3 linked regions of the Mus musculus genome follow. The protein of the gene in region 2 interacts with the protein of the main gene of each other region in a biochemical or structural test. Links are inferred from orthologs where the notes say so. Each region holds a gene or a part of one and is shown on either strand. Other genes may lie near its edges. The genes, in order: Csrp3, Myog and Srf.

The links.
Region 1: the proteins of Myog (region 2) and Csrp3 form a complex in vitro, tested with the Homo sapiens proteins (2 studies listed by BioGRID and IntAct, with this or other methods). The link is inferred for Mus musculus from reciprocal best matches to the Homo sapiens genes MYOG and CSRP3.
Region 3: the proteins of Myog (region 2) and Srf form a complex in vitro, tested with the Homo sapiens proteins (2 studies listed by BioGRID and IntAct). The link is inferred for Mus musculus from reciprocal best matches to the Homo sapiens genes MYOG and SRF.

Annotation. Positions count from the first base shown.
Region 1 is NC_000073.6:48,843,075-48,850,586, reverse strand, and holds the start of Csrp3 (cysteine and glycine-rich protein 3), read left to right. Parts: upstream 1-2,535; 5' UTR 2,536-2,589; intron 2,590-6,915; exon of another isoform or gene 6,916-6,991; intron 6,992-7,512. UniProt on the Homo sapiens protein: Positive regulator of myogenesis. Acts as a cofactor for myogenic bHLH transcription factors such as MYOD1, and probably MYOG and MYF6.
Region 2 is NC_000067.6:134,286,270-134,294,083, forward strand, and holds Myog (myogenin), read left to right. Parts: upstream 1-3,734; 5' UTR 3,735-3,786; coding exon 3,787-4,257; intron 4,258-4,823; coding exon 4,824-4,905; intron 4,906-5,404; coding exon 5,405-5,526; 3' UTR 5,527-6,279; downstream 6,280-7,814. UniProt on the Homo sapiens protein: Acts as a transcriptional activator that promotes transcription of muscle-specific target genes and plays a role in muscle differentiation, cell cycle exit and muscle atrophy.
Region 3 is NC_000083.6:46,544,257-46,551,226, forward strand, and holds the end of Srf (serum response factor), read right to left. Parts: intron 6,765-6,970; coding exon 6,645-6,764; intron 5,781-6,644; coding exon 5,589-5,780; intron 5,257-5,588; coding exon 5,180-5,256; intron 4,923-5,179; coding exon 4,827-4,922; 3' UTR 2,583-4,826; downstream 1-2,582. Other genes in the region: Cul9 (cullin-9), read right to left, coding at 1,455-1,490. UniProt on the Homo sapiens protein: SRF is a transcription factor that binds to the serum response element (SRE), a short sequence of dyad symmetry located 300 bp to the 5' of the site of transcription initiation of some genes (such as FOS).

The sequences.
Region 1 (7,512 bases), on a different chromosome or scaffold from region 2:
ATAGAACAAGAATGGGCTGGCTAAAAAAAGAAAAAAAATTAGATGTGCTAACAATTATATAGAGCCAAGTGCAATCCCACAAACATTTTGAGTTCAAGACCCAGCTGGGTTATGCGGTGAGACAAAATTTTGAAAAACTTATAAATGGAATTATTATTATTATTTTAAGATTTTAATTTATTTATTTATTATATGTAAGTACGCTGTAGCTGTCTTCAGACACACCAGAAGAGGGAGTCAGATCTCATTACGGATGGTTGTGAGCCACCATGTGGTTGCTGGGATTTGAACTCAGGACCTTTGGAAGAGCAGTCGGGTACTCTTACCCACTGAGCCATCTCACCAGCCCCGGAATTATTTTTAAATTAGTAAATGAATAAGTGGCTGAATATACTTGGGTGTAATGAGAATTCATTCTTGGCCACTGGCTCTCAACCTTCCTAAGGTTTTATCCCTTCAGTACAGTTCCTCACGTTATGGTAACCACCAACCATAGAATTATTTTTGTTGCTACTTCATATCTGTAATTTTGCTACTGTTATTAATCAAAATGTAAATATCTTTGTGTTTTTTTGATGGACTCACGTGATCCCTGTGAAAGGGTCATTCAACTCAAAGGGGGTCAATATCCACAGGTTGAGAACCACTGTTCCAGTCAATGGTGAGCTAAGACATATTTGAATAAATACAAAAAGAAAATGTTCTAATTTCTAATAGTCATTAGAGGGAGGAATTAATTTAAAACATTAAAAATTTCCAAAGCTAAAAAGAAAAACCATGAATTTTCAGACTGAAATTACCCACTAGATTTCAAGTGGCATAAACTTTAAAAGACAAAAAAAAAAAAATCGTGAAATTTAAGAAGTCATAAAAGTTTCCAAAGGAAACAAGTTAATGAGGAACCCGAATAAACTGGCACCACCACCATTGGCCACTCCAACAGGGCTGGGCTATTACAGATGGTTCCCTCCCAGTTCTGACTAAAGGCCATTTGGAATATAGATTCTCAGATGTAAGCATGATAATCGCCCAAGTGCAGATTGAATTTGGTCCCTAAAAAAATACACATTTACATCCTTCCGACCTCAGTATCTCAGGATGTTGTGCTGTATTTGGAAACAGGAGCTTCAGAGAAAGAACTGGGTCATAGGAGTAGGCTCTTATCCAATATAACTGGTATCCTTATAAGAAAGCATGCGACTGACCACATATACACAGAAGGAAGATCACAGAAAGACATAAAAGAGAAGACTTGCCTACATGCCTGTGGTTTCAGAGAAGCCTGTCCTGGGAAACTTAGATTTGTCACAGCTGAGACCCTTTTGGCTATGTAAGAATTTGGTAAAGTCCATATAGAATAGACTCTCTTAATGAATTGACCCAGGACATTCTAATGCTCAGATTTTAAAATGTAACATTAAAAAGTTACATTTTTAATCTTGTTTTATTGACTTTATGTGTTGATGTCCCATTCAACATTAATTATGTTAAAAAATATTGGTGTCAAAAGCACACAAAATTTTGATGGGTTTTGTTTTATTTCAAAGTTTTTGATATGTTTGTTTGTTTTTTTTTGAGGCAGAGGCTGGCTTCGAACATGTTATATGGCTGAGAATGGTAACTTCTGATCATCTAGCTTTCACCTCAAGGACTGAACTATAACTCACTCTCTCTCTCTCTCTCTCTCTCTCTCTCTCTCTCTCTCTCTCTCTCTCTCTCTCTTTCTCTCAACTTTAAACACTGCCATCCTACAAGAATCCTTAAGATCCCCCGACCTTGCAGGGCAGTCATCTCTGCTTTATATCTCAGACGAATAAGCTATGCTGTTCCCCATGATAACACAGATGGAGCAGATTTCTTATAAAGCAATGCTATGCCCATCTTTGTGAAATTACCACAAGCCCTGGTCTAAACCATGAAATATTCCATTAATCAATATAGTGACTCAAAACTTGAGAGAAAACATTTCTTCATTAGATACACAGGCCTTTGATGATTAGCTGATGTCAGTCCCACCTCCCCACACGCCCTCCTTGAAGAGATTAGTTAAGTGTGCGCCAGGCCCCCATCACTCTTATTTTTAGCTCTGAGTTCTCACAGTGCAATGACCTGGGTCTTGGAATTCCAAAGGGCTCCCAGGCATGGCTCATGATCCATTTGCAGGTAGCCTGCACTGATTTCCAGAACAGGCAGGGCATGGGGGTGGGGGTGTGTGGAAGGGAGTGTTGCAAAAATGATTTTAAATATAAAACCCTTTGTACAAGTCGAAGTCTTCAGTCAGAAGCTGTACACTTCACAAATGCATCCCTTGGTGCCTTAGGCAAATGGCAATTAAAATAGAACCCAACTGATATTGTTCTCCGGGAGGCTCCCGGCTGGCATGGGGGGTGGGGTGGGGAACACAACTAAGGGCTTTGGTCACGGGCTATTTTTGGCAATTGTGTTACTCGTGTCTTATTCACCCCCTCTCCTCAGCCTCCCCACTGCCCTTCCCTCAGCGAGCCAAGACTGGTGACAGCCTCTATATATTTAAAGAGGACAAGAGTCCCCTTACTCAGTTGAGCCGGCAGAGACCACACAGGCAGGCAGGTAAGTAGACCACAACAGGCATTTGGGCGGGCTGGCTGACTGACTGGGTGACTGGATGGGACTTTACGGAGTCCTATACAGTGGAGGCATATTTTACAACCAAGTCTCAGCACCCACCCTGGCTACAGATGAGGAGGATCAAGTTTATATACTTGACCCATATACAGCTCTAGCATTAGTTTTGAACTTCCTAAAAGTATGATTGATATTGGGTGGCAGGACTTGGGGAGCATGTGTGAAGGTCTGCATTTGATTTCCTGGCACCCTAAAAACAAAGCAAAACAAAACAAAAAGTTGGGAGCAATGGGCATGGGATTAATCTGGGTCTAAAGTCATTGTCATAGTGGAATGGTCCCATCTTCTGAGGCAGATGACAGGAAAGCAGAGTAAGATGAAGTTCAGATGTACACCGCAGCCTCAGATCGGCCACAGAAGACACAAATGAGTAGCTCTAAGGAGGGGTCTTGCTCACTTTTCCTTCAAGGGTTTGATAGGAAAGTAGTGACATTATTTAAACTCCACATTGCTATATGGTTATGAGACAACTGTATAGTATATCAGATCTGTCAGATATCCGATAGCACAGAAGAGCACCTTTCCCACCTCAGTTCATGAAACGCTGCTGCTCACAAGGTGTGGGTGGATGAATGAGATCCCAGATTGGTTGTTTTAAAATAAACACACACCAAAGATGTTCAGCCACAGGCATGCTTTTAGCTGTCTAAAATTAATCAAAACTGGTCCTTAGAAAAGACATCATGATGCTGAAACCTCATTACAACCTCTTATTAAATGGGAAGATGAATTCCTTGCCCGTGATGAGAGGTGACTCCCAGTATTCTCTCCAGGTCTCAATCAAGGGTTTCTTTTCAATATCCAGTCAATGAGAACAAGACATGGTTTTAAGCAATGGCCTGGATGCTGTGCAGATCAAAGCTGCCACCTCTGACGTCTGTTCTGGCCCTTAGCCATGGTGGTGACCCCTCCATGGGGGAGCTGGGTAACCATTGGAGGGCGCTCGTCTAATTGTGGTGTGGTGCAACGCCAGTTAATAAGCAGTATGGACTGCCTCCTAGCTCAGGGCTAGAGCAGAGGGAGGCACAAGCCGCGAAGTAGAGTAGGGGAATGGGGGTAGTCTGCATACTCAGTTTCCTTTGAGGGCTGAGCATTAAGGGAAACAAGGTAAGAGGAGCATGCTATGCTGGCTTTTACAAAACAAAGACCAGGGCTATCTCATAGGAAGCAAGGCGATGGCCATCTGCATGAAATGACCACAGCCCTCTCCATTACAAAATGCTCCATCGTTCAACCAGTTCATTGCAGTGTGTGTAAAACTGTTTTATGTCCCAGAAAATGTGGAGAGTTTCCTGATTTGGCTTTGATTTATTTCTGAATAACCCTCTCCTTGGTGTTCAGTGTGAGGAGCTCCCACGGTTAAGAGGAGGTATAGCTGAGCCAGGGCTTAGTGTCTGCCTGGACATACAAAATATCTGTCAGAGGCAAGGGAGCTCAGCAGAGAGGCAGCCTGGGGGCAGAGGAGCAAGTGGCACCATGCAGCAGACAAACCAGAAGGACCTCACCCAGGAAATGGAAACAGAACTATGATAGATGCAGAACTGTGATAGATGCAAACTCTTTTTTTTTTCTTTCTTTTTGAGACTGGGTTTCTTTGTGTAGCCCTGGCTGTCCTGGAACTCACTTTGTAGACCAGGCTGGCCTCGAACCTAGAAATCCGCCTGCCTCTGCCTCCCAAGTGCTGGGATTAAAGGCGTGCGCCACCATCGCCTGGCTTAGATGCAAACTCTTAACTCTTGGGAACCATAGGAAGAAAAGCAAAGTAAACAAGAGTCAAAGGTTCAAATCATAACTGCGTATCTCTTAGCTTCCCAATTGTCACTTTCAGAACAGTAAAATAAAGGATGACCACCTATCTCCAGGGATTTGCGTGGGCTAAATAAGATCCAGGGAAGTACTTTATGAATTCAATATGGCTGCATGCATAAATGAAGCCTTTCAGAAAGGGTGCAGGGCCTTCTCTGCATTAGGATGGATGCCCTGTGAAGTACGAGATGATGACAAAGTCTGGCAGTCGGAGTGGCTAACAAGCTGGTCAGTGGTGAGAGGTGATTGATGTGTTTGTCAAGAGAATGGATACAGGCCTAGGAGTATCGTATACAGGAAATACAACTCCAGGCAGGCAGCCTTCCAAGCGCAAGCATGCTGCCCAGATGTCTGGGAATACTCACTGTATAGAGAGCTGGGAGTCAAGTCCAAAGAGAAATATGATTCCTGCCTAGGTGGAAACTGAGAGGTGCAGGGATTTTTCTAGGAGCTCTGAAGCTCAGGGCCTACGCAGAGCTCCACTAAGGTCATTGTTGGACACAGCGGCCAGCATCGACTGCTGCTTACCTGCTCTCATGCAAGTTCAGAGCATGTGGGGGCTTCCCTAGAGTCTCAGAAAGTCCTGGAAAAGCCATTCTGTAGGGGAAGAAACTAAAGTTCAAGGGACTGCTGCAATCACACAGGGTCACATGGCCCGAAAGCAGCAGAGCCAAGATGTGATCAGGGTACGGCGTGGTCTTTAAAGCACAAAGGTCAAAGCAGAACCAAGAACAGAAGTAAGCATACTACAGAGATAATTTCAGAGCAGGGTACTGCAATTGCGCATTATTGTCTCGCTAGTCACATGTCCTCCATGCCTGAGAGCCAACATTCATGGCTATTTCTAAGCACCAAGGGCTTCCAAGGCTTTATGAAAGGTGGTGGTGGAGAGACTTCATACATACACCTGGCTTATACGATCAGGAGGAAGCCACCCACTGCCCTCGACTCTTACTGTAGGAGCAAAATGGGTGAGCTTCTCCTCAGCCATAGGAACTCTCTACGGGCTTGCTTCCCTTCAAAGCCCCTGTGATTGGTAAGTCAAGCTCAGCGAGAGCTTCAGAGAGGCAGAGTGGGTCGGAGGCCAACTCAGTCAGTGATACAGGCAGCCTGAGATGCGAGCAGACACTCCCCTGGGCTGACACCCACACATGGGTGGCTGAGATTCTAAAAACTGGAGAAACAGTTGATTTGTGGTCTGAAATGAATACTCACAAAGAAGGGAAAAAAAGAGAGAGGTTTGCTTGTTTTACAAAAAGAGATTCAAACACTGCACAGCAAATCACATCAATCAACTATCGTGGTAATCTAAAGGCAGCAACAATCATTGGATCCTTGTGTGCACTAAGAGTGTATATGTAGTCACTGTTATTGCCTTCAGCATCCTGGGACAAACCTGCTCATTTTGACATCCATGGGGGCTGTGCTCAGGAGTCAGAGCCGTGTGCCCCAGATCAGACTGCTAATGTCCTGAATGGAGCTTTAGTTCTTTTAAAAGCCTGCGCCTTCTCACACTTCATTGTCTGCCTTGCTGAATTAAGAGAAGAGATGGCACTTAAGAGGGAACTCTGCTGAGCAGCGTTTCTGCAAAGAGAGGCTTCTATCATTCACAGTTCAGGTCCTTAAAATTGGTCTCAGGGCTTGAAGGATGCTTTGCTGTATTTTAGTTACATAGATGTCCATTCCCAAAGGAGATGAGAATCAACAATGAAAAGAGACTTCCAGCTTTAGAGGAGTCCTTCCGTGTTTGAACACCACTTATTCCTGGGTTGTCCCTTATGTTACCAAGTTGAAGCCCCCAAGACTCCTCTTATCAATGCTTTCTATGCCCCATAAAGAGATGATGGATCTATAAGACCTCAGTTCCCACCAGATGAGATGCTTGGTCACTGGAATTGCTCACCCATGTCTGTCTCCTGGAAGACATGTTATAGCAGAAGCTTGTATAAGGGTCAAGTTAATTAGCCTTTTAAATGTAGCTCTCCCATTTTTTGGTTGTGTGATCTTGGTCAAACTATCTATCTAGCTTTCTGTATAGTTTTCTCATTTCCAGCTTAGGAACAGCACAATTTACTGTGTTGGGCTGCTGTAAGTATCACCGATAATGTATGAAATGCATTGATGCAAGCATGAACAGTGATTGGCATCAGTATGGGAGCACAGGTCTGGAGTCAGAGAGTGGAGTTCCACTCTCTAGGACAGGGATGTTAATTCCCCAAGCGCACATTTCCCTACCTGAACAGTTGGTTTCAACAGCACCTGCCTGGAAGGGTTACTGGTCAGGTGTTACTGCAGTGTCTGCTCCAAGGCCAGTGCTCTAGAACCTTTCACATCAGTGGCAATTTCTGAGATAGTACTAACTCTATCACAAAGTCCAGGCAGGGTTCCTATGAGAACTTTGTCTCAGCCCATGTTGACGTTCAACTCACCATGTGGAAGCTTCTGTTAGACTTGGCCAGCGAGCCAGCAGTGAGCTGAACAAGTTACTGAGCGGCTGGAGGTCTCTGCTCCAACTCTTGGCGTAAGCATCACTCCCAGATCCATTTATCTATCTATCTATCTATCTATCTATCTATCTATCTATCTATCTATCTATCTATCTATCTATCTATCTTTGTTTTTCTAAGACAGAGTTTCTCTGTTTCCAGGACGACAAGACTGTCCTGGAACTCACTCTGTAGACCAGACTGGCCTCTAACTTAGAGATCGACTCTGCCTCCCTAGTGCTGGGATTAAAGGCATGTACCACTACCGCCTGGCTGTCTCCCAGATTTTTAAATGGACTCTAAGAAGAAGTAACACAACCACTAAGTGGCTATTTTTGTCTACCCCACTTTGTCCTAGAATACCATCTTTTACTTTTATAGTTAGTTGCAGGGATTGGGGGGTGGGTAGGAAGAGAAAGAGAGAGAAAGGAGGAGGAGGAAGTGGAAAAGGATGAAGGGAAGAAGAAAGGGAGGAAGGGAGGAAGAAAGGAAGGGAATGCAGACTGCTGTCCAATAAGTAGTTTGGACTTATTTTAGAAAATTCAGATGATACAAG
Region 2 (7,814 bases):
CACATCCTGCAGACCAGAGCTATGTCTAGTCACTGCCCTCGTGCCCACCCAGGGACCAACACGGAGCAGGGTTGAATAGAGGAAGGAGAAAAAGAATCGATTTTTCTTCTGGGTTATATTTGTCCTTTTTTTCTAGCCCTCCCCCTTGTCTCGCAGCACTCCCTACCTTGGAAAGGTGAATTTTAGTACACAATTGTCACTCAACTGTGCACACAGGGTAGCAGGTAGATGACATCCTGTTCATGTCACCTAGTACCCAATGCACAGGACACAGTTTCTTGATTGAAATCATGGGGGGAGGCAGTGGGTAAGCAAGGTATGATAGTGTACAACTTTAATCCTAGCACTTGGGAGGCAAAGGTAGGGGGAATCTCTGTGAGTTTGAGGCCAGCCCTGTTTTACAGAGTGAGTTCAGGACAGAGGTACACAAAGAAACTGTGTCTCAAAAAAAAGGGGGGGGGAGGGAGTTCCCTCCCCCGATCCTGACCCTGGTCCATAGGGTCAGTGTAGACACCTGATTTGAGGAGCATGAGGCTAAGAATAGGTGAGAGCACAGAAACAGATGGCCATGCAGGGAATAAGTCTTGTATTCATTGGGTGTTTTGATGCGCTGGGTACACACAGGTGCACATGTGCACACACACACACAGGTGCACATGTACACACACACACACACACACACACACACACACACGGCATCTGCTGCCAATTTGAACTATGAGTTTTTTCCCAGTCAAATTCACCCTCCCACCCGTAAGCCGATGGTTCATGCCTTTATCATCTCACTCCTGGATTACTGTCAAGCGGGGTTGGATGGGGTGGGGTAATGAGGTTTTCTTGCTTCAGTTCTGAAGTCTCTTCATACCCAGTCGAGCCTCTTACCCTCATAGACTCGTTTTCAGTCGTCACCACCCTGAGATCCACACACTCTGATCACCCACACACCTTCCTCTTCTCACCTCTTCATGGCCTCATTCTGCTGATTCCCCAAGACCTGGTCCAGGACTTGACTCCTCCGCAGCCCTCCTCGGAGGCTTAGCCTCCAGTGACTTTGCCATTGGTTTGCAAGTGATCCTCGTCCCTGTTAGGTTTTGTTTTTTTTATTTTGTCTGAGACAGAGTCTCGCAACTAGCCCAGACTAGCCTGGAACTGGCAATCCTCCTGCCTTGGCCCTTCCAAGTACGGAATTAAAGGTATGTGCCACCATGCCCACCCAGCTTTCTGCCACCTCATTGGCTACAACATTAACAGCTTTGCAATGGGGCATTCGCTGCTAAGGGTCCAGGCTCTTGTACCAGGCAGCAGGAACCTGCAAGGCATCAAAGAATAAGTCCTTTCTGCTCCCACTTCAAAAGAACACAGATTGTTTAGGGTAAGTGGGATTGAGTCCCCCAAGGACAAAAGATACAATTTGGCAGTTTCCACAGCAGGTATGACATCCCTCTCTTTTTAGGGCTCACAGGGCTGGAGTATAACCTGAAGCAAGGTAAATTTTTGTTTGTTTGCTTCTTCACTTTGAGGAGGTGGAAAGTGTGTTGAACGTTTAGAACCCACAATAATGTGCTGCACTTTGTATCCCCAAGTAAAGTCAAGAACTGACTTAAGGCCTCAGTGTGTCCCAATTTGCTTGGGGCTCTTTTATTGCTCAGTATGTCCCCCCTCACACACCTGTTTCCTCCTTTAAAAGACAGCACTTTCTTGGCTCTTCTCTGTGGCTTAAGAGAAGAGAGAAGGCCGGTCCTTCAAACCCCATACAGCTCTCACGGCTGCTATGAAAGGAGCCCTCCCTGAGCCCCCCACCCCACCCCACTCCATCCCCCACAGACAACTCCACCCTTCTCCTAGTGTCCTGACTGGTAGTTAGGATGTAGCCATCTCCTCCTGCATTGGAGCAGGGATAGCAGGACAGATCACACCTAGTCTGCGGGGTCCTGGGGAAAAGTCTGAGCCATAGGTGAAAGTTTGTGGCTCCAAATCCAGAATTCCTGAAGCTTCAGGTCACATGACAGCCACAGGCAAAGAGATTTGGGAATCAGAGGCTGGGTGAAAGGTGGCCAGAGGCCTGCACACTGCTCTTTAGAACTGGTCCTCCCTGGCTACCAATGCCTCTCCTGAGGTATCTTCTGGCTGACAGAGGCCAAGATTCAATGGGAATGGCCCCTCCCCCACCTGACATTCTAGAGTTGTATGACGCAGGCAAAGGTGATGACTCAGGCAGGAAGGAATAGAAGAGGCCAGCCTGGTGGCCCAGGACAGACAAATGATGCAAAGGACTCTTTCTCCTTATCGACCCTTCTACAGAAAGGAAAGAGTCAAAACGGTTCTAGTGCCAGAAGGCATTATTGAGGGGAAAGCACAGAAGAGATGATTAAGAGCATCAGACAGGGTCCATCCCATAATCAGCCACCAAACACAGACACTATTACATATGCCAGCAAGATTTTGCTGAAAGAACCCTGATATAGCTGCCTCTTGTGAGGCTATGCCAGTGCCTGGCAAATACAGAAGTGGATGCTCACAGTCAGCTATTGGATGGAACACAGGGCCCCCAATGGAGGAGCTAGAGAAAGTACCCAAGGAACTGAAGGGGTCTGCAACCCTATAGGTGGAACAACAATATGAACTAACCAGTACCCCCAGAGCTCATGTCTCTAGCTGCATATGTAGCAGAAGATGGCCTAGTCGGCCATCATTGGGAAGAGAGGCCCCTTGGTATTGCAAACTATATGCCCCAGTACAGGGGAACGCCAGGGCCAAGAAGTGGGAATGAGTGGGTAGGGGAGCAGGGCGGGGGGAGGGGGGGTATAGGGAACTTTTGGGATAGCATTTGAAATGTAAATGAAGAAAATATCTAATAAAAAATAATTTAAAAAAGAGCGTCAGACAGGGGACTGAACAGCTCTTGACTAGGGGAGAAGAAGGCAATGTAGAGTAGTCTGTGAGTTCTAATCCTTGCTAAACACTGACTTCACCTGACCCCTACTACTTAAGGCCCCCCCCCTTACTTAAGAAGTCCCTGTGTTCTCTTACTTCAATCTACCCCCAACATCATGAGACCTGGTCAAAGAAGCTGTAGAAACCCAAAAGTTGAATCCATTTGCCCTTCTGGGTTTCTGTCTTTGCCTCCATGGACGATAGGGACACACACACACACACACACACACACACACACACACACACGCCCCAAATCTGGAGTGGTCCTGATGTGGTAGTGGTAGGTCTTTAGGGGTCTCATGGGACTGACATAGTATGGTTTAAGGTGCTGCTGAGCAGGAAAGAGAAGGCTAAGTGGATTTTCAAGACCCCTTCCCGTCCGTCCAAGACAACCCCTTTCTTGTTCCCTTCCTGCCCTGTCCACCAGCTGCCTTGGACCATGGAGGAGAGAGTAGGCAGGAGGCCCGGGTAGGAGTAATTGAAAGGAGCAGATGAGACGGGGGAATGCACCCACCCCCACCTTCCCTGCCCCACAGGGGCTGTGGAGAAATGAAAACTAATCAAATTACAGCCGACGGCCTCCCGACCCGTGCACAGGAGCCGCCTGGGCCAGGGGCAGGCCTGCAGGGTGGGGTGGGGGCAAAAGGAGAGGGAAGGGGAATCACATGTAATCCACTGGAAACGTCTTGATGTGCAGCAACAGCTTAGAGGGGGGCTCAGGTTTCTGTGGCGTTGGCTATATTTATCTCTGGGTTCATGCCAGCAGGGAGGGTTTAAATGGCACCCAGCAGTTGGTGTGAGGGGCTGCGGGAGCTTGGGGGCCAGTGGCAGGAACAAGCCTTTTCCGACCTGATGGAGCTGTATGAGACATCCCCCTATTTCTACCAGGAGCCCCACTTCTATGATGGGGAAAACTACCTTCCTGTCCACCTTCAGGGCTTCGAGCCCCCGGGCTATGAGCGGACTGAGCTCAGCTTAAGCCCGGAAGCCCGAGGGCCCCTGGAAGAAAAGGGACTGGGGACCCCTGAGCATTGTCCAGGCCAGTGCCTGCCGTGGGCATGTAAGGTGTGTAAGAGGAAGTCTGTGTCGGTGGACCGGAGGAGGGCAGCCACACTGAGGGAGAAGCGCAGGCTCAAGAAAGTGAATGAGGCCTTCGAGGCCCTGAAGAGGAGCACCCTGCTCAACCCCAACCAGCGGCTGCCTAAAGTGGAGATCCTGCGCAGCGCCATCCAGTACATTGAGCGCCTACAGGCCTTGCTCAGCTCCCTCAACCAGGAGGAGCGCGATCTCCGCTACAGAGGCGGGGGCGGGCCCCAGCCCATGGTAAGTGGCTAGTACACCAGATCCAGGGATAGGGCCAGAGGGAGGTGCCTGGTCAGCCCCGGGCCACCAGAGCTAGAACAGGTGCAAAGCAGGGCCCTTGGGATCCCTGGACCCCTTTCCTTGTCGGCTAGACTGTCCAGTGGCCTTCTGGGCTCATACTGTTTCCAAAATACAGATGGGGTAGGGTGGACTGGCACAGGAGAACAGAAGGGGCCCGGAAACAAGCCTGCAGTAAGGGCTTTGGTGAGCCTAGGTGAAAATGAGGGAAAAGTGGCCTAAGAAACCTGCTTTGTCCCAAGTCCACAGCCTTCATTTTTGACCTGACGAAACACATTAGAATGCCCACAGGCCTGCTCAGGAGCCACCGTAACAAAATACTGTGGTTTATCACCCTCACCGCCGAAATGAAAGCAAAGTTCTCATCCTAGAAGCTAGGAAAGACCTAGAAGTAGGATGTCTATGGTAACATTCTAGGGTAGGCAACTGACCCTGTAACCCAGGCAGAGAGAAATACCTGAGACTGGCAGTAGACTTGACCTTGGACCTTGGCCTTGTCTTGCATGCAGGTGCCCAGTGAATGCAACTCCCACAGCGCCTCCTGCAGTCCGGAGTGGGGCAATGCACTGGAGTTCGGTCCCAACCCAGGAGGTAAGTGAATCCTGACCCTGGTAACATGGCTCAAATCCCTTAGTCCCTACCTAGGCTGGGCTTGTACCCTTACCATAAGCCCTGTCCCAATCACCCTTCAGCAGCTTTTCTAGGAACTTGCTGACCTGAGGGCCCCAAATGGTGGGCTGGAGACCCTGTGCCTCCCGGTAGCCTTGACCAGCTAAAGAGTAGTCAGAGCCTCCAGCAACTTCCCTGCTGGTCTCTGACCTCAGAGAGAAGAGCCTGCTCCTGCCCCAGGGGTCCCTGGGGATCACTCAGTCAGTGTTGTAAAACTGTGCCCTGTGCCCTAGGATATCCTGGCTTCACCTAGGGATAGCCACTTTTAAAACCCCACAAGCACACACACAGCATGGGGAGTACTAGTGTCCTGGGGGCGGGGAACACTCCTGAGTCTTCCTTACCCATTTTGTCCTGGAAAATCTGTGTCAAGGGTCCCATACCAGTTGCCCAGGAAACATTCTCCCACTTTTTCTTGCAGATCATTTGCTCGCGGCTGACCCTACAGACGCCCACAATCTGCACTCCCTTACGTCCATCGTGGACAGCATCACGGTGGAGGATATGTCTGTTGCCTTCCCAGACGAAACCATGCCCAACTGAGATTGTCTGTCAGGCTGGGTGTGCATGTGAGCCCCCAAGTTGGTGTCAAAAGCCATCACTTCTGTAGCAGGGGGCTTTTAAGTGGGGCTGTCCTGATGTCCAGAAAACAGCCCTGGGCTGCCACAAGCCAGACTCCCCACTCCCCATTCACATAAGGCTAACACCCAGCCCAGCGAGGGAATTTAGCTGACTCCTTAAAGCAGAGAGCATCCTCTTCTGAGGAGAGAAAGATGGAGTCCAGAGAGCCCCCTTGTTAATGTCCCTCAGTGGGGCAAACTCAGGAGCTTCTTTTTTGTTTATCATAATATGCCTCGAATTCCACCCCCCACCCCCAAAATGAAACCGTTTGAGAGACATGAGTGCCCTGACCTGGACAAGTGTGCACATCTGTTCTAGTCTCTTCCTGAAGCCAGTGGCTGGGCTGGGCCTGCCCTGAGTTGAGAGAGAAGGGGGAGGAGCTATCCGGTTCCAAAGCCTCTGGGGGCCAAGCATTTGCAGTGGATCTTGGGAACCTTCCAGTGCTTTGTGTATTGTTTATTGTTTTGTGTGTTGTTTGTAAAGCTGCCGTCTGACCAAGGTCTCCTGTGCTGATGATACCGGGAACAGGCAGGGAAGGGGGTGGGGGCTCTTGGGGTGACTTCTTTTGTTAACTAAGCATTGTGTGGTTTTGCCAATTTTTTTTCTTTTGTAATTCTTTTGCTAACTTATTTGGATTTCCTTTTTTAAAAAATGAATAAAGACTGGTTGCTATCAGAGCATCTGCAATGATATTATCAAGAGGGGAGCCACCAAAACTCTGCACCTTTCCCTTGGAGGTCCAAATGGGAGTGGGGGGGTGTGGATCATGTGAGTGGAGCTGGAGTCCTGAGCTGGTTGTTAGACGCAGGAGCCAAGTGCCGCACAGCTTGGGGGAAAGACCGGATTCCTTAGAAACCCTGGGCCCACAGAGGCAGGCCTGTAAAATACTCTGTTTGTTGTACTTTCAGTCAGACGTCATTCACAGTTCCAATTCACAGCCCAATAGGTCCACTGCGCATGCTCACGTGCCTTGTGCCCAGCCCACACCTAGGGCTAGGGGTAAAGAGCTGGGTTTTCAGGACGTTTCTTCTTCAGCTCCATCTCTCCCCTGGATCCATTGGTCACCTTAAGCTCCACGGAGAAGTAGGAAGTGACTATACAGAACAAATGGGGTCAGACGCTGTCATTTCTTCAAAGGAAAAACAGCATATCCCCTGACCACCTTCTGCCCTTCCCTGCAGGCACAGGGATATTCCTGTCCCCAACTACAGCTCAAAGATGAGGAGATTCTGCTAAGGGAGCCAGAGACAAAGAATAATCAGAGGAGAAGCCAGGGTTCTCCTCATTTGAGATTTTTTTTTTTCCAAAGACTGGCTTCCTAAGGGGAGAAGGTGGGTGGGAAATTGAAAGCAAAGTGCACAGGTAGAGATTGTGTAAGGATTAACACGGGGTCTAAAAGAACTATAATCGGGAACAGGCCAAAAACACCTACTTCAAATTTGCTATTGGGTCGTACTGCTTGTCTGGTTTCCTGGAGATTATTTCCAAACCATTGCAGACAGGGATTCAGTATATGGTGCATCCTGGGTCCCCTTCAGTCCTCTCAGGTCCTTTGTCAACCAACCTGAACCAGTTTAAGAGAGCAGGCATTGATGGCCATTCTGCGCTTGCTCAAGCTCAGCTGGGCCCCTCCCCACAACTAACCTCCCTAAAGAAGATAGTATGAGAAAGGCTTGGTGGAGCCTCGGGAACTTGAGGAGGTAAGAAGCTACAGAGGGTAGGTCTCATCAAGGTCGTGATTATCGTGAATAAACGATCATGCATCCTGGTTTGTGGGATTTTTCTTCCTTATGAGTTTGTGTCATTGGATTTACAGTCTTTCAGATAGCCTGAAGAGGAATATTTAAGTCTAGCTTTGAGCTTCTGACAGTGGGGCAAAGTAAGTGTCTGCATTACCAATTCCTACCTCTGGTCTAGTGTTCTCCCTTAGGCCCACCAAAATACCCAACTGTGCAAAAAATAGAACTCTTCTCAGATTTGTGCCCTCTGCCCCAGTGCCTCCCAGTGTTCTTGAGTGGATTGTCCCCGACTGCCTTCAGTTGTGACATGTCTGTCCCTTGTCCTCCTAGGCCCCTCCAAGGGTCTAGTGCTAGCCAAGAACAAGGGTCCTCCGTGAATACCCTGCAGCTCATGGGCTCCAGTTGCTGGAAAATTGTGTTAAAGCCCATTCTTTTCACACTTGAAAAAGAGAACAAAGGTCACTGGAGTCA
Region 3 (6,970 bases), on a different chromosome or scaffold from region 2:
CTGATTTCTTTCCTTTTGTTTCTTTTTTTACCTCGGGCTACTAACAAACCACAACCAACCTTCTTAATGGCCAACAACCACTCCACACGCCTTTCAGGAGCCTAGCACTCATGCACTCCGCACACAGTCACAGAAATTGTCTGAAGCTGGCAGAGCCAGGCTTCTACTAGAGCACGGAGTCAAGTCACAGTCAGCAGCTGCAGACAGTCCGAAGCAGCCCCGCAGCCCACACCTGGGGCTACAACAAAAGCCCATTCTCATAATATAGTTCTGGTTTTTAAAAGAAACCCAAATGCCAGAATTCTCAGAAATGTCACTGCAGGGGAGGTGGGCACTAAAGAGATGAGCAGGGGTGAAGAGCATTTGCCGCTCTACAAAATAACCAAGGGTCAGTGCCTAGCACCCACATGGCAGCTCCAGACCATCTGTAACTCCAATCCCAAGAGTCCAACACCCTCTTCTGACCTCCAAGGGCACCCTGCACATACATACAGGCAAAACACTCATGCACACAAAATAAATCCTTTTTAATTTATTTAAAAATAAAATATATGGCCGGGCAGTGGTGGCGCATGCCTTTAATCCCAGCACTTGGGAGGCAGGGGCAGGTGGATTTCTGAGTTGGAGGCCAGCCTGGTCTACAGAGTGAGTTCCAGGACAGCCAGGGCTACACAGAGCAACCCTGTCTCGAAAAAAGCAAATAAAATAAATAAATCTGTGTGTATGAATTTTGTTTGTGTATTTGTCTGTGCAGCACTTGCCTGGTGCCCTTGGAGGCCAGGGAAGGCATCAGATCCCCTGGAAGTCGAGTTAGACATGGTTTTCAGCATTATATGGGTGCTGGGGATTGAACCCAGGGCTTCCTGGGTGCTAGGCAAACACTCCACCAACTGAGCTACATCCCCAGGTCCATAAATCTCCTTTCTAAAAGGCTATGAATTTAAGCCTGGTGTGCCTATAATCTTGATATTCAGGAGACTGAGGCAAAAGAATCACAAATTCCGAGGTTAGGCTTGGCTACACACAGAAAGTTCCTGGCTAAGCCCAAACTACACAGTAAGATTGTCTTTAAGGGCTGGAGAGATGGTTCAGTGGTTAAGAGCACTGTCTGCTCTTCCAGAGGTCCTGAGTTCAATTGCCAACAACCACATGGCGGCTCACAACCATCTGTAATGGGATCCGATGCCTTCTTCTGGTGTGTCTTAAGACAGTTACTCATATAAATAAAATAAATGAATCTTTAAAACAGAAACCAAACTGAACATTCGTTAGCACAGAACTGCTCAGTAAAAAAAATGTATTACAGCATAATCTATTCTTAGATGGGGACAGTAGGTTGCAGGCATCAGATAAGAAAGGTTGTTAAAGCAGAATATTAATGAAAATAAAACGACTAGGGAAAGGTATGTGTGATTTGAAACAGTGCAATGGAGAGAGTAAAATAGAAGGTGTACCTGGATAAAAGAACCAGTTATCCAGGCAGGAGTCATGTCAGGGTGCACGGACAGGAGGCAAGCAGAAGAAAGGAGGAGTCATATAAGATGTGAACTTCTGTGTGGATGGGATTCACTTAGCATGGAAGGAAGGCTAGGCGATAACCATTGATGCTCTTATAGCTGTTGACAAACATGGGGCCAAGCCAAACCATCTTCTAGGCCTGGGGGGCGGGGATGGCATAGGGAGGGCCTAAACCAGAAGCTCTAAATAGGGGTGTGAAGGTGACGCCTGACTGCCGGGACTGAGAACAGAAAGCAGCACGATCGCGTCCAAGCTAGACTCCAGAGAGGTGGCGGAGGAGCCCGCTCAACACCAAGCGGGGAATAATGGCCTGGGGGAGCGGGGCGGCGCGGGGTGAGCATGGCGGGGCGCGGTCGCGAGCTGACAGGACCTGCTTCCCCGACTTCTCCCTCTAGTCCGGGAGGAAGGGATGAGGGACTTGGAGGGGGTTGGGAAAAGAAGGGATGGCTCGGTGCAGAGCTTTCTTCTCACCTCTCACCGCCCTCCCGGCTGGACCCTCGCTGTCACCCAGCAGCGGGTCCCGCAACTGGGCCCGCCTCCTCCACAGCTCTTTTCCGGGTCACACGCCGGGCGCACGCACGACCCGGGCGACTACGGGTCCTACGGTGGCCCACTGCGAGCGTGGCAAAGCGGCGCGTGAGTGGAGCATGCGTATTAGCCGAGGGAGTCAGCAACCAGTGTCCTTCCCAGGTAGTCCGGTGTGAAGCATCCTGCGCTCCACCGGGTCCATCTTCCTCTCCCACCCACCACAGCAATCATCTCCGCATTAGTTAACCCATACTCCCATCACCGGACTTGTGTGTGTGTGTTGTTGTTGTTTCCCAGCGCTGCCCAAACCCTGCGGTATTTTAGATCATTGGGTCACTTTGACTTTTAAGTAAAACCCCTGACCTTCCCTGAGCTGCTGGCAAAACCATGCATTAAGTCCTCGCCCAGATCTCTTCAATCATGTAGGATTGAACAGTCCAAAGCACACCGCAGCTTGGGACAGACTTTAAGGGATTGTGCTCCCTCCTCCCTCCCGATGCTAAAAAGATCCCAAAGACACAGCCAAAGACCCCAGTCTGTGCACAAAAATGATACATTTATTGAAAGAGTATTTTTTTAATACAAAAGAAAGCTCTGTACAGAAGATGTGACCATGTCCACTATTCCTGGGTCAACATCCCAGGAGAAGTAGAAACCACGGATATACCACACGCACTCCACATTCACACACGTATTCACTCGGACACAGGCGCGCGCACACACCCCTAGAGCCACTTAATTAGGGATACACCAAGGGTTGCTGCACATAGAAATGCCACCTCAGTCCTGCCTGACAAACAGGTTCTCCCAAGGCCACAATCACACAGCACACGTTGGTAAGCACTTGGCCTGAATCACTTGCCCAGGCTCTATCTTTTGTGAGGAGGAATCAACACCTCCGGTGTTGGGGGAGGGGCCATGAGTGGGCGGCAGAGGAGTGAAACAGGAGCAGAGAAGGGGGCTGGGCAGTTACAGACCTGAGTCCCAAGCTCCCCAACTCTGACCCCTGGTTTACCATGCCCCAGTCTTGAAAGCCACCCAAACGCCCCAGCTATTTCCAGGAGAAAGGCCAGAAAGGTGGCATCCCAGCTGGGGAAGACAGTAATGGGGATTAGAGGTTCAGGGGGCTCTTAAACGTCAGCAGATCATCCCCATGAAACGTAGGCTGTGCATAAAACCTTCCCAACCCCTCCACCTAACCGCAGAAGTAGGCTTGTTCCTACTGAAGGCAGCAACAAGGGTTTAGTGACACCCTACCCCAACTGCCCTCCCGGAAAAAGCTCCTTTAATGGATACAGGTGGTTTAGGCTGGCTCTGACACAGGGTAAAACACCCTCCCCTATGCTAGCCCACCCTCAAGGTCCCCAAAGGGATTTTAAGGGATGGGGCATGGCCCTGTACAAATTACATAAATACTGAGGTTACACTTAGAAAAATAAAGTCATTTTCTTCAAGGCTTTTTGTCTTAATTTAAAAAAGTTACAGTAGCTGCTCACTCCCTGGGAGAGCTGCCCACCTCTGGCCCCCCATTGCTGCACTCAGCCCAAGAGCTTTTACCTCTGACCCCCATTCCTGTATCTCCCTACCTCCCGAACTCCATCCTGCCCACTGCACCTTGGGCCCCAGGTATCTGCAAGCCTGGGGGAGCACAGGCTGCAACGACCATACTGTGGCACAAAGGACATCAATCTCCTCTCCCTGACCCCTCCCACCCCACCCCCACATTTGGTCTCCATCTTCCCTTTTCCTAGCAACAACCCTAGAGGGCAAAAGAGGCCTAGAACTGCGGGACCTCCCATCCCCCTTCTGTGGCTTGGCCTGAGGGCCCCTCCCCCACCTTTCTCCTGGAAAGAACCCAGGATGTGGAGCAATCCCAGAATCTCCCACACACACACACTGGTGGACCCCAAGCTCATGGGGTGGCTGTCCCCAGGGGCCCAGACAGTTCTAGGGAGCCCAAGAGCTTCCCCAAGAGGAGTTTGGGCAGGGAGGGGGATGAGAAAAACGCCATTAAAAAAAAGTTAAATATTTTAAAAATATATATTTATAGATTTGTTTTCACGTCATCTCCTCAAATAAAAAGTTCAAAATCAACTCTTAAGTAAAGCAGCTGGGAGAAGGGGGAAGACCAAGGGGAGGAAGAGACCGCTAACAGTGGTTCCCTCCAACCCAGGAGCCCCTGCAGGTCCGCGGGAACAGAGGCAAGGCAGGGCAGGCGGCCCCAGTAACCTGCCCGGTGCACAGGCCCAGCTGCTTCAGGAGCTGAAAGGGGCAGAGGGCATCGGCTGAGGGCACAAGCCCCCATATCTCTCCCAGCTGGCTCCCTGAGGGGCAGGGGCCGGGCTCTTTTGACCCAGACCATGGCAGACACAAAGCTAACCAGAGGTCGCCAAAGAGGCTGGAGAGAGGGCCCCAAATGTTTCCTCGGACGGGAACACTGTGCCCAGTCCCACAGAAGGCCTGTGAGTGGGAAGGTGGCACAGTCCCATCGGGTCAGCTAATACTCATAGCAAATTGAGCCAGGCTGGCAGGGGGTCTGAGGAGGGAGGAGAGCTGCACCATCAACAGCATGACAGGCAGAGCAGGAAGGAGGGCAGCTGGGGAGGGCAGGCAGGCCCGTTTCTTTGGCTGGAGTGAGAGGGCATAGTCCTGTGGCTGCCCGCTCCTTCTCCCCGCCTCCCTCCTTCGGCCAGTCAGTGTGTGTGTAAAGAAACCGTGAAAAGGCAACAATAAATAAGTGGTGCCGTCCCTTGGGCCGTCTGTCCAGGGTGACGGGCGGATCATTCACTCTTGGTGCTGTGGGTGGCATCCAGGTTCACCACCTGTAGCTCGGTGAGGTTGCTGCTGCTCCCAGCTTGCTGCCCTATCACAGCCATCTGTAAGGAGGGAGGTGTGTAAAGATGGGTAAGGAAAAATACGAAAAAAAGTCTTAAATTATGTTAAATAATAAAATTAAAAGTCTTCATTAAAAAAAAAAAAAAAAAAAAAAAAAAAAAAAAAAGGAGGGAGGTGTGTGAGGACAGGAGGGAGAGACCGACCAGCAGGCTGAGCTCGGGCGCCTCCTGCTGGCCTGCCGTTCTAGTACTTGCCCAGGGGAGACTGGCTGAGTGGGCCAGGTCAGAGTCCACCTTACCTGGTGAAGCTGAACTGCAGAGACAGGGATCTGCACGGTCCCAGACGGTGCTGTCAGGAACACCTGAGGGACACCACCTGCATCGGAAAGCATGGGAGATACTCACTAACTTGCTCAAGAGGAGCCCTAGATACTGGAGGAGCATGATATTCACAAGTGTCTGGGAAGCCTCAGACACGTGCCCAAGGGTGTGTGCCCATAGCGTCCGTCTCACGCACAGCATGAGGGTGCCTGTGGTGTGAGGGTTTACATGCGCAAGAGTGTCCACTGAGTGTGAGATCCTTGCAATTGTGCAGGAGTATGTGTGGGCATTGGGAGAGGGGGTGGAGTGAGGGTGCATGTTGGCGCTGGAGCCTGTGGAAGGGAGAGATAAATGGTCCTTCTTGCTTCAGCCCTGCCCTTCCCTCACCTGGCTCCTGGACCTGGCTGTGGGACACCTGCATGGTGGATGGTGCCTGAGAGAAGGCATTGAGCACGGTGAGGCTGCCATCAGCCAGGCCTGAGGTGGGGGCATACATCACTGCATGGGGACTAGGGTACATCATGTGGCCACCCACAGTTGTGGGTACAGACGACGTCATGATGGTGGCGGGCAACGTCACTGGAAAACACAGACACACATCAGGGAGCTGATCCCTCCTGCTATCTCTCATCCTGCCCCAGGGTTCCAACCTTCAGGGTCTTTGTACCATGTCCTATGGCTCGAGTTTTTCAAAAGCTTGTTTCTTTGCTTCCTGTCAACAACAATAAAGTCTAGCTTTTTCCTCTGAGCTCAACAGCCCACTGTTCTACGGTGGGATTGTGCGTCCATCAAAGTCTCTGTTCCCAGACCCTACGATCGCAACCATGACCTCCTCCCAGGAAAGTCAAGGCAGTTTCTTAGGGAACTCCATTGCGCGTATCCTCCTCACTCTTCCTCAACTTACACCTAAGAGGTTCGTCCTCCAGACAAGCACATCTCAGATGTTACTGTAGGAGCTTACTAATGCGCAGACTCTGACTCACTTGAGACTCTTGCTTGTCCCCCGATTCCCAGGCCCTCCAGTCCTAGAGCAGAAGGGATTCAGCTAATGTGTAATAAATAAGGCGGGAATGACAATAACTTACACGTGAGAGTTCACTCTAATTCTTGAAAAGACCAACAGCGGCAGAGAGGAACTAGAGACCTACAGGGAGACCTAGAGTGTCTCATCGGTGACAACTGCTCTCGGGCCTCCCTGGTTACTGAGCAGGTTATTTTTCAATGGTTCCTTATCTCTTGATTCCCCACTGCAGAGCAGGGCTCAAACCTTAGCGTGCTTACCTAGGTCTCTTCTAAGGATGAGAGAAAAAGTCCAGGCTCTACTTAGTGAATTCCCTGCGGTCCTGAGCATGGGAGAGACATGCCGCTAAGTCCCTACTTCTAGGCTTCCTGTGGGAAGGCAGGGCACTGGGGGCTGGGGAGGAGAGTGGCAAAGAGTTATACCTGTCCCGCTGGAGGAGGTCTGCGTGAGGTCTGTGCTGCTGTCACGAGAGGGAGACGCTTGCTGTGGGGCCTGGTGCACATGAATGGCCTGCACAGGGACCTGCTGGGCCACTGCCCCACCTATAAGACACAGTGTTTTACTTGGGTTCCAGCCTATGCAGCTGCCGCCTTCAAACATGCTGGACTACTGTATTCCCAGGCCCATGCCCTGGCTCCCCTGGGACCTGAAGACATCCTATATGCTCTGAATGAAGTGAGTCCCCTCTTCCTCCTGTCCCAAGCTCTGCTCCATCTTCAGCTGACCAGGAGCTAGCCTTAATCTATCA